3 linked regions of the Caenorhabditis elegans genome follow. The protein of the gene in region 2 purifies or fractionates together with the protein of the main gene of each other region. This does not show direct contact. Each region holds a gene or a part of one and is shown on either strand. Other genes may lie near its edges. The genes, in order: ain-1, cgh-1 and car-1.

Region 1 (3,753 bases), on a different chromosome or scaffold from region 2:
ATCCCTTGTCGACAGCGTTCTTCAGCATCTCCGCCACAGCCACGTGTTGATTGGTTCCGGGCTCATTGAGTGGAATTGTTCCTCCCTGCACCCACGATCCAGTGGTGTTGTCACTGGAGAATGTTGAAGTGTGCTGATTCGGAAGATACCATGGATTTTGCTCAGTTGTCAAGTCGTTCCATCTGTTGTTCTCGTCGAATATCGTCGACTCGCTCTTGGACGGATTGTTTGGATCATTTTCTGGAAGCTCTCCCCATCCGGTCACAACAATTGGCCGTTTCGCTGGTACTGGGAATGGGAAACGTTGATTGTCCTCTCCCTGAGACATGAAGTTCAATTTAATACCTAAGACAACAATATTACCTTTTTCTGTGGTACTGGACATCGGTTCAATGCAGTTTCCAAATCCTCATCGGCACCTTCGCCAACAATCCACAAGCTAATGGTACGGTCAGCTGCAAAAATAGTCGATAATAGGTGATTTCTATAGCAACACATTTAGACTAATTTCAGTTTTTCATGAAACAATGGAGAATTTCATTCAATTCCCACCAAGGAAATATTTTTTTAAAAAACTCACTTTGCTTCTCCGGGTCTCCCCAATAGGACACTCCAGTATCTCTCTGCCATTTCTTGAGTTCTCCGTTTGGATCATGCCAAACAGTCAGTGTGAGATCATCAGCAGCTCCGCCGATTGGGAATGGATTGTTGTACTGCTGGTCTCCTCCCATGAACTGCTGCATGCTTCCACCACTTCCATTGTTTCCGGTGCTGTTCCACATATTGGATCCTCCGCCACTCTGGCTTCCACTGTGTCCCATTCCACCACGGTTGTTGTAGTTTCTTTGACCGCCGTGGCCTCCTTGACCTCCACCAGCATTGTTATTCTTCCATGATCCGTGTCCACTATTCGGAGCAACACCCATATTTCTCATTCCACCCATACCACCTCCCATGTGCATATCCATCGGTGGTGGAACTGAAACGTCAACACCGCCACCCATATTGCCAGAGTACCGTCCCTGGTTGTGGTTTGGACGACCGTTTCGGGGCGGCATGCCTGACATTCCACGATTGCTGTCCTGCCCCCATGGACGGTTCATCTGCTTGTTGCCACCCATGTTATTCGGGCCACCCCATCCCCCTTGGTAGTCTTGCTGCTGCTGCATCATTGGCCCACTACGTTGTCCTTGTCCTGGTGGTCCATGTCTCATGCCTGTATTCCAGGCTCCCTGCAGCAATGGCATCGGGTATTGCTGATGCTGTTGAGGCTGTTGCTGTTTCCAAAAGTCATCAGATTCTTTTCCCATTCCTCCGTTACTCCAAACCGGGTGCGCTGGCTGAGACCCTATGGACCAAGGCGCAGATTGACCTCCAAGACTATTCAATTCACCGAACGCTGAAAATTTATAGATTTAAATTTATAAATATAACGTCTAATCAAATTTGAACTTACAGGCATGTGGTTGAAGTGGATACTGCACATCGCTCAATGGTGGATCACCCCATATCTGTTTCTCATAATCTGTATTCTGAATGCCACCCCATTGGCTTTGACTTGATGAGCCTGTGCCACTGAGTCCAACAAGGGCTTCGTTGACATTTGGCTCTGAAACAATTTTTACGTCATCAAGATTACAATTGCCAATTACCGATATCGTTCGATTCCTGTTGCCATGGCGATCTGTTTGGGAACTGTGGCTGCGGTACCGGCGGAGCCCAGACACGTTGCTGCTGGAGACCGTTGTTTCCCCATACAGGCTGTTGGTCGTTAGGATGCCACGCTGCGTCGTCTATTGAAATGTTGTTGAAGTTTTTTGCGAGACTCTCCATGGTTGCGTTGATCGCGCTCTGGCGATCAGAGTTTGAGCTTATCTGTAAAAAATGGAATATTATTGATTGATGAGTTTTGGCGAGAGCGTGATGGTAAATGATAGATGACAAGAGAAAACAAAGAAACTGATAGACTGATTGATAACACTATTTGATTTCGACATGGGTACATTGGTCGAACAACATTAGCCGCGTAACGAGCAGGATTTCATGAAGGCAATTGAAAATTTTACGGACCAGGAGTATCAGCTTAATAGAAATTTTATAAAAAATGATCTAAAGCCATTCAAACAGTATTGAGCAAAATTATGTTTTACAAGATCATTGTCAAAGTTAGAAAGCATAAACTATTAATTAATGCAATACTGCTAGATAGAAACAAGTTCAGTGTAAAAAGCGTTCTCCTGTAAAAAGGTAAACATTAAAAAATTTAATAAGTTTTGTACAACCTACATAACTACTGTTGTAAAGAAAGGCCCCAAAAGCCCCCGGGGCGCTGCTGGCTAGGTGGGAACTAGGCGGACAAGGGGTTAAGGAAAAAGCAGGAAAGAGAGAAAGGAGAAGGAAAAAGCAGAAGAAGGAGAGAGACTAGTTAGAAGAGGGGTCTGGTGCTTCGCAGGCTGGTTGGCTGGGCTGCTGCTGCTGCTGCTGCTGCTGCTGCTGGCTACCCCGATCGAGGGCGAGAAGGCGACCGGCGACGACATTGCGCGTTTCTCTCCCTGTCTGTCTCTCTCCATCTCATAGTGAGAGGCCAACATCAAATTGCTTGCCGGGCGAGAGACGCAGCGGAAACTCCCCGTCTTTCCACTTTTTCCTCGCTTCACTACTACTAACCCCCGTGAGTCTGTCCGCTCACGCTTCACTCATCAGACCACCCTCCCGCACTCTCGCTCTCTCTTTTTCTTTCACGAATCAATGAGACCGCTGTGTGTATGTGTGTGTGTGTGCAGAGAGAAGAAGGAACGTAGGGTCAACTGAGAGGGTTTCATGTCGTGTAGAGACGGAGAAACCGCACCGCCGCACACTCACGCGCTCATGCGCTCACCACCGCACTCATAGACACTCATCGACGTGCGCTCGACCACTCACCACCATTTCTCTTCATCTCTGGTGGTTCTCCCCGTATCTAACAGTATATACGTCTGTGTGGCCAGTTCTACACACACACACACATACACACACTACCAATATATTTTCGATATGTGGGATGGACGGGACACACGAGCGAAGATGGACGGGATGAACAGCGGGACGGGCGACATGCCAAACTTGAAACACTTTTTGGTTGGAAATAGATTCGGAGAGAAATTGATTAGGAACTTGTTAATTGAGGATACTAAGGATATTTAACAGAAATTCACCAATTTTCTGAAAATTTGACATTACAGTGGTTTTTCTCTGTTATGAAAAGTTGGCTATATCGTAACTTTTTGTACTTTGTGAAATATTTAAATTCAAACAGGAGATGATAAATCTAAAAAGGAAAAAGATGAAACATTATGTTGAAATTCTTAAGACAGTGTTCATTAATTTGACACGCCAAAACAGCCGAGGCTATCAATTTTTGGTGACTGAATTTTTTCGACCTTGTGTGCCGCCACCGCTCGGGAACCAGAAACTGTGAGTGCTAGACAGTTGAGGGTTTGTTTTCCTTCGCATCAAGTTCACGTGACCCGGTGAGGTGGAAGAGAATTGGGAATGAGAAATCTATACTGTTTTTCACACGGAGAAGAAAACATGAAGAGAAACTTTTGAATAACGAGAAAAATGTTTTTCTTTTTCAAAATTGAAAATAGAAGACAAAAAACAAACACGCTGAGAGAAAAGAGGCAATTAATAAAAGAAAAAACGACCAGTAGAAAAAGCAGGTGTTATTAGGCTCCGGGAGAGAGAAAGGGTCAAGCGGGAAGTGTTGGTAGT
Region 2 (3,753 bases):
AAGGAAAGATGCTTATGCTTGAACAATATTAAATTTAGCACAAACTGTGCATTTAAAGGAAAATAGAGAACATACACAATCTGGACGAGATCACTAGAATGGAAAAAAAAAACGTAGGCGACCAGTGTGTTTTGGAGGTTTGGGGATATGAGAACTAGTGTTTAAGCAGTGGTCTCATCGGCGGCATCGACGAGCTGCTGGTCAGCGACATACAGCTTCGGGTCAACCGTTTTCGGGATGGGCTCAATGCGAGTACGAAGCTCCTGCTCGATACGGCGAAGGGTGTGACGGTCTTCGTAGGTGATAAGGTTGATTGCAACTCCGAGGTGACCGAAACGTCCAGAGCGACCGATTCTGTGAAGGTAAGTCTCGGCGTTTCTTGGGAAGTCAAAGTTGATGACAACATTGACAGCCTGGATATCGATACCTGAAAAATTACAATTATGCATGAACTACACTTTAAAATAAGAAAAATGGCGCTCAGATATCCGTTCTTCAATTATCTCTTCACATAACTTCAGAGTGTGTGTATGTGTTATCAATCCTCATCGCGCAAATTATTTAGTCAAACTTACCACGGGTGAGAAGATCGGAGCAAACCAAGTTTCTGCAGTTTCCTTGACGGAAGTCATGGAAGACACGGTTTCTGTGATTCTGAGCCATCTTGGAATGAATGTAGTAGCACGAGTAACCGATTTCCGTGATTTTCTTAGCGAGAAGCTCAACACGTTGAGTAGAGTTACAGAAGATGATCGACTGGTTGATTTGAAGTTTTCGGAACAACGTATTCAAACAGTGGACCTTTTGCTTCTCTTGAACAAAGGCATAGTATTGGGTGACACCAAGAAGAGTAAGCTCCTCCATGAGGTTGATCTCATACGGCTTGTGCATGTGCTTCTGCATGAACGAAGTGACGGTGTTAGGGAAAGTGGCAGAATAAAGCATAACTTGACGCTCCTTTGGGAGGAAGTTGATGAGGCGGTCGAGAATTCCCTGTAAACGAGAATTGTTATCTTATTCAAATGTTAATTTTTTTACCTGGAAGTCTTGACTAAGAAGTTTGTCAGCCTCGTCAAGAACAAGTGTTTTACAATGTTCCATTTTGGCGACTCCTTTCTCCATAAGATCGAGAATTCTTCCTGGGGTGGCGATGACCAAGTGAACCGTTCCGTTTAGACGCATGATATCATCACGGAGATCAGTTCCTCCGGTAGTGACCATAACTTTGAGCTGAATGTGTTTGGAGAGCTCCACGCAGATCTGTGAAGTTTGGAGAGCCAATTCACGAGTTGGGACAATGACCATGGCTTGAATAGCTTTGAGGGCTGGCTGGATCTTCTCGATAACAGGGATACAATAAGCTCCGGTTTTTCCTGTTCCGTTCTTAGCTCTTGCGAGAATATCTTGACCAGTGAGAGCGACTCCGATGGATGCTTCTTGAATAGGACTCGGTTTTTCCCATCCTTTCTCAAAAATCCCCATGAGAAGATCGCGTCCAAGGCAGAAATCCTCAAACTCGACTCCCTTCGTATCAGTGACATCCTGAAAAATGAAATGGTCACAAAGTCATATAGGCTTTGCAAACTCACAGCAGTTTTGAATCTTCTGTCTTTTGCTGGAAGATTGAGACCAGCCTTCCAGTTTTCGTCGCCATTGTTGGCAGGAACGATCTGTTGTTGCTCCGCTCCACTCATTTTCCGATGTCGTAGTAGGTTTGATTTCCTGATGAGATCTGTAAAATCGAGATTAAAGTTGAGAAGTTGTTAATGGTGTAAGTTGAGAAGTTGTTAATGAAGGAAGATAAGTTTTTAATGCGAAAAAATGATACCTATCGAGTTTACTACAATTTTGTTAGTCATGGAAAAATCATTCAAGCATTTTCAGAACAATTAGGAGGAACGCTAAATAACACTGAGATAATATTTATGCGAGACAACCGGTGTCTGTCTCGCGCTCGTATACACACGATCAATGACGGTTAGAAAAAGCAAGCGAGTGGTCGGCGGCGCATAGAGACGCACAGACACTCTTTGGGTTGCTGGAGTATCTAGCCAACAGGGTAGCCGATGTTTGACGACGTGGCAATTGACAAGAAACAATTTCAAAAGGTCAGAGAATCACGACAATTTTTTATTGATACCTTCCAGTTTTTAAGCGACTCTCCAAACAATAAACGCGAAAAAGTTTATATTTTACATTCGAAAGTTTGAAAGAACACTTTTTGTTATCGTTTTTTAAAACAGGTTTCTGAGCTACGAAACTGATAAAAATCTTCGGAAAACGACTGAATCTATCAAGAAAGTGTCGATAACAGATTGGAGCTGCCATCGTCGCCTAAAACTCTTAGAAATCTAGAGAAGAAACACAGAAACACGTGGAGAACAACGGCCAAAATGAAGGAAATGTGCGAAGAAACGAGAGTGTGGAGAGAAAAACTGTGAGAGCGACGGGACGAGTAGGCCAAGCTGCTGCGAGCGACGAGTGAGAGGCATTTCGCTGCGTACATTCAACACACAAAAGTTGAATACTCAGCCAACGCGCGAAACAAAATGGCGGTAATTCAAAATTAGATTTCAATGAAAAACTTTACGAAGATTTGATGCGAAATTTCTTGAGAATAATAATGAATTAAATATTAAAAAGAATATACCAGCGTCGATGAAAATTTATTAAAGGATAATTAGTTCTAAATGTAATGAGTAATGTGATTACTTTATCGTTTTTCGATTTCCTCATTTTTCTAATTCGAACTCCTCATATTCAACCAGAAATCTGTGATATGCGTCACATCTAGCTCCGTGATGGCAGTATACGATGAATATAAGAAACCGACACGGTTGGATAACACAATTGAAATACGCCAAATCCACAATAGGCAATATTTTCGAGCTGCCAACAAAATAAATTGTTCCGAAACAGGACACATCCACCACCATTTTTATAAACTGAAAATCTTAATTGAAAACAGGAGTCAAAAGAAACGTTACATTTGTGGTAATCGTAATAACATTGAGACGTTGGACTCCATTGTATGATATAAAATATATAACTATCAAAATGCTTGTTAGAAAAAATAACGAAAATTGAATGTAAACAAGTGACAGATACACGAACGACTCTGTCTTCATATCTGCAATTTTAGTTGTTATATTTTTCCACTTTTTATTTTCTTACAGAAATAAGCAGATCCAAGATAAACCGATTGGTACCAAGTTTGTAAAGCTTCTAGGCAAATCATGTTTATAGCAATAGGACTCCAAGATCCCTTAAAATTATTTATAAAGGCAGAAACATTACAGATAACAAACTTGATCGAGATTGAATAACGGCGGAGGAGATAGACTCATAATTCTTATATGCAAATTATTTAAAAATGGTTTGTTATTTTATTTATGAATTATATGATTTGAACGTTAAATGTTAATAATAATATGAAATTGCGTGTAACTCATGAATTGAAATTAATTACGTTATTATTTTGTTCTTTCTTTTTTCAAAAATAAAATGTTTCCTTACTTAAAAGTCGCGCCGAGATCCGAAAACACGCCAAAGTGGTTGCTGGCGCGTTTCATCATAATTGCTGACGCATTGTCAGTGCCTGGTCCATTTACTGGGAAAAATCTAACATTTTAAATTATTTCCCGGGAAATTTCCCCGCAATATGAGTATGGAATGGTCCAAAAAGAGAAAGAAAGTAAGTTTCCTTGTCAACTTCTAAGTGTCACAAGCTTTAATAATACCGATTTAAAAGTT
Region 3 (3,753 bases), on a different chromosome or scaffold from region 2:
CTTCAAAAATCCCACCCTTTCCCCCTCCCCGCCTGTGATACAAAAATCGATTCATTTCTTTCTTTCCCCGGATTTCTTTTTTTTTGTTCCAGATTTTATTTATTCTTCCGCTGCTACTGGGTAGGCAACATTTTTATTTCCAACTTTTTTCGACTTTTTTTTGTTCCAATTCCGAGTGTTTCCCTGATTATCGATCGAAATCCCCCAGATATACGATTTATTGCAATTTCTTTAATTTTTTCTGCGTTCCTTCTCTTCTCCCCGTCACTGCTTTCGTATTATTATTACTGTTCCTATACATGATGAAATAAATATACACGTTTGATTGGGTTCTTTGCTTCCTTTTTTGGAAGTTTTTAGAACAACTGGCAAGAAAATGGCGAAGAATGTGCGAAATTTCGGATTCAAGTGGGCGAAAATTCGAAAATTTCGAATTTTTTGACAAAAGTCGAGAGTTCCGGAGTCATATGGCAGCCAATTAGGCGAAAAGTTCAATATTTTGCGGGAAATTCCCAAAAGCCGAATCCACAGGCCCAGCTTAGCGATACGATGATAATTCTCAAGTTTTTAACACATTCTTCCTGGAAAATAGATTTATACACGTATTATATTATAGAGAAAGCTGAAATCCTAAAAAGAAAGTAACAAAAAATATGAAAATTTTCGAATTATTCGCTCAAAGATCGCCCTTCCTTCCTCGGAATCTCGATCTCATGTCCACCAGTGATCGCTTGCAGTCGGTGAAATTTTGGAGAACGGCGAAACATTTGTCGGGTACACTTCCGTCGCCACGTGCATCGATGCATTCCTTCGCAGATCGAGCTTGAACTTGCACACAATGCGAGTTTTTGATGCATTTTTTGAGTGCTTGACGTAGACGATCACACGATACACCGGTCTTCTTTATCTCGTTGAATTCGTCTTCTTCAAATTGTTGGGATTGGGAGTGTGCGGTGATTCCGGCCATTTTTCGCGGGAGTTTGCCTGAAAAATCGAATAAAAATTGATTTTAGAAGATATAACTAGTTTTAAACAATAAAATTTAAGTAAATTTCAGTCTTTTTCACAATTTTATCACAAAAAAACGAGAAAATTCAATAAATTCGCACAAAAATTGATTTTATTTCATTTAAATTTTGAAAAATAATTAGTGTCGATTTACGGAGTTGGCACGGTGCCAAGATTTGCAGAATCGTGGCGAGACCCACAAAAACCTATAGCAAAACATGCGCCTTTAAATGGGATTGGGGTGCAGCGCCATTTTAGGATTTTTGTTGTTTTCTTCGCAAAATTGTTGATTTTTCGTTATTTTTTTTGATTTTCTAGGGAAATTTTCAATGTTTTATTGCTAAAATAATTATTTTTGACGTGATGAACTTAAAGTTACAGCTTAGAATCATTAAATTTTGCGAATTTTGATAGAAACTTCCCATTTTTTGTGATTTTCAAGTTTGAGCTTACCTTTTATTTCTTCTGCCGATTTTTAGCTGTTTGAGAAGTTCAATTAGTGAGTTTTCGGTTCTTAATACTCAAAATTATTTTTACTGCAATGGTACGGCCGTGGCTGCGCAGTACCTCATAAAATAAGTGGGCAGACGGATGCAATCACGCTCCATCGGCGCAGAATCGATAACGATGACGGCTTCGCATTTTACTTTTAAACTTTTGCAGCTTTTCCCACTTCTTATAAGAAATTAGGGCTTTAAACTGTCAGTGTTATCCTTGTATATTATCGTTGATGTTCCTCTAAGACTTATTGACACCTCCGTATCGATTTTAGGCCAATTAGGTTAATTTCTAAGGTTTCTCGACACAATTGAGATCGCTTCGACATTTTTCGTAGTATTCCGCAAGATTTTGTTTTAGGATTGATAGAAGCGCACATTTACACGGTTTCAGTTGTTAATTTATTCTCCTATTCCCGACAATATTGCTCTTCGTCTTTCTTCAAACGTTGTGAAACTTAAATTATATTACATTTTTGCAGGTAATAATGTCGAATCAAACACCGTACATCGGAAGCAAGATTAGTCTGATCTCCAAGCTCGACATCCGTTACGAGGGAATCCTCTACACCGTCGACACCAACGACTCTACCATCGCGTTGGCCAAGGTTCGCTCGTTCGGAACCGAGAAGCGTCCAACTGCTAATCCGGTCGCCGCTCGTGATGATGTCTACGAGTACATCATCTTCAAGGCCAGCGACATCAAGGATTTGATCGTTTGTGATACTCCGAAGGCGAGTTGCCGGATAATCGAGCTTCATTGATCTAAATAATGTCTTTTCAGATGGCCAACATTGGAGGAGGGCTTCCATACGATCCAGCCATCATCTCTGTCTCCTCGAGATCAGCCCCAGCAAGTGACGGAGCTCCAGCTGCCTCTGCAGGTTCTTCCAGAGCCGGAACGCCATCCCGTAACAGTCCGTTAGGCCAAATCATCCAAAATCAACGTCCAGGACGTGGAGGTTATCAGCAAAGTCAGTTTTATTTTCTTTCAAATCAACTCTGGATTTATGATCATGTTTTCAGACTTCCAAGCTAACCGTGGATACAACAACTACCGCGGAGGATTCGCTGGCGGATACAACAACCAAAGAGGGCACAACAATTATGGAGTTCCTCGAGTTAATCACCGCGAAAAGCTGAAGTTCGAATCGGACTTTGACTTCGAGAAGGCCAATGAGAAGTTCCAAGAAGTTCTCGTCGACAACCTTGAGAAGCTCAACATTGAGGATAAGGCCGAGCCAGAAGTTGAGGAGAAGAAGGATGCTGCCTTCTACGACAAGAAGACTTCATTCTTTGACAACATCAGCTGTGAATCACTGGAGAAAGCCGAAGGAAAGACTGGACGGCCAGATTGGAAGAAGGAGAGAGAAACGAATCAGGAGACGTTCGGACACAACGCAGTGCGTTCGTTGAACTACCGTCGTGGATTCGGAGGACGAGGACGTGGTGGAAACCGCGGATATGGAGGTATAGTTCCACTTTAGAAGTTACAACGTCTTATGCTCAATTTTCAGGTTACAACAACGGATACCAGCATCAACACCAGCACCGTGGAGGATACAATGGAGGTTATCGTCAGAACAACGGTGGATACCGTCGTGGTGGATATGCTCCACGTGACAACCAAGGCAATACTGCCGCAGCTGCCGAACAATAAGTTCGAATTCCCTGAAATTGTTTTCTCCCCACATCCCCATACCCCGATATTAGCCGTTTGTTAATTTATTATGTAAGTTTATCCATTCTCCCCCCCCCCCCATCAATGATTACCCTTGTCTCTTCTCAACTATTGGCGTGTTATAAGAAACCCGTTAATTATTTAGAAATCTCGTACGATTCAATGCGGGCCTTCTGTTATTTTGTAATAATTATTGCGCACCCACCCACCGACACACATCTCCCATCCAAAAAATTCCCAATGTTTTTTCTTCCCCCACTACAATAGTGATTGGACCCTTCCCCCGTTTTTTTAAGTTCTAGCTTGTGAATTTTAAAGCATGTCGTTCTGTTGTCCTCAGTTTGTCATTTTAATAAAATTGCAGTGACTAAACTGTCAAATCGTTTGCACCTGCTCTCCTATCATCCCACACCCCGCCTTTTATGATTGTCTTCTAGGAGATATGAAATTGTTTTTAAGATCTTCTCTTAGATTTGCTATAATATTGCAAACCCTTCATTCTTAGGTAGACAAGCCCTGAGAAATTGTGATTTCCCCGTATAAACTTTTTGTTTTGTATCATTGCTT

The links.
Region 1: the proteins of cgh-1 (region 2) and ain-1 purify together in Caenorhabditis elegans (affinity purification with western blotting, with the first as the bait; one study listed by BioGRID). This does not show direct contact.
Region 3: the proteins of cgh-1 (region 2) and car-1 purify together in Caenorhabditis elegans (affinity purification with mass spectrometry; 3 studies listed by BioGRID, with this or other methods). This does not show direct contact.

Annotation. Positions count from the first base shown.
Region 1 is NC_003284.9:16,611,573-16,615,325, reverse strand, and holds the start of ain-1 (ALG-1 INteracting protein), read right to left. Parts: upstream 1,876-3,753; 5' UTR 1,834-1,875; coding exon 1,653-1,833; intron 1,610-1,652; coding exon 1,457-1,609; intron 1,400-1,456; coding exon 581-1,399; intron 456-580; coding exon 364-455; intron 320-363; coding exon 1-319.
Region 2 is NC_003281.10:7,496,101-7,499,853, forward strand, and holds the start of cgh-1 (ATP-dependent RNA helicase cgh-1), read right to left. Parts: upstream 1,733-3,753; 5' UTR 1,695-1,732; coding exon 1,590-1,694; intron 1,543-1,589; coding exon 1,039-1,542; intron 994-1,038; coding exon 576-993; intron 555-575; exon of another isoform or gene 477-554; intron 428-476; coding exon 162-427; 3' UTR 1-161. Other genes in the region: C07H6.9 (Serpentine Receptor, class Z), read right to left, coding at 2,733-2,945, 2,988-3,130, 3,175-3,265, 3,309-3,347; sap-140 (U2 snRNP-associated SURP motif-containing protein), read left to right, coding at 3,662-3,694. UniProt on the Caenorhabditis elegans protein: Probable RNA helicase required for oocyte and sperm function. Also required to prevent the physiological germline apoptosis mechanism killing essentially all developing oocytes.
Region 3 is NC_003279.8:12,902,483-12,906,235, forward strand, and holds car-1 (Protein LSM14 homolog car-1), read left to right. Parts: upstream 1-1,987; 5' UTR 1,988-1,993; coding exon 1,994-2,239; intron 2,240-2,289; coding exon 2,290-2,479; intron 2,480-2,531; coding exon 2,532-2,975; intron 2,976-3,022; coding exon 3,023-3,165; 3' UTR 3,166-3,558; downstream 3,559-3,753. Other genes in the region: coa-5 (Cytochrome c oxidase assembly factor 5), read right to left, coding at 677-967. UniProt on the Caenorhabditis elegans protein: Transcriptional regulator. Involved in modulating embryonic expression of ATP-dependent chaperone cdc-48.1. May play a role in mRNA gene silencing, and RNA granule (P-body) assembly.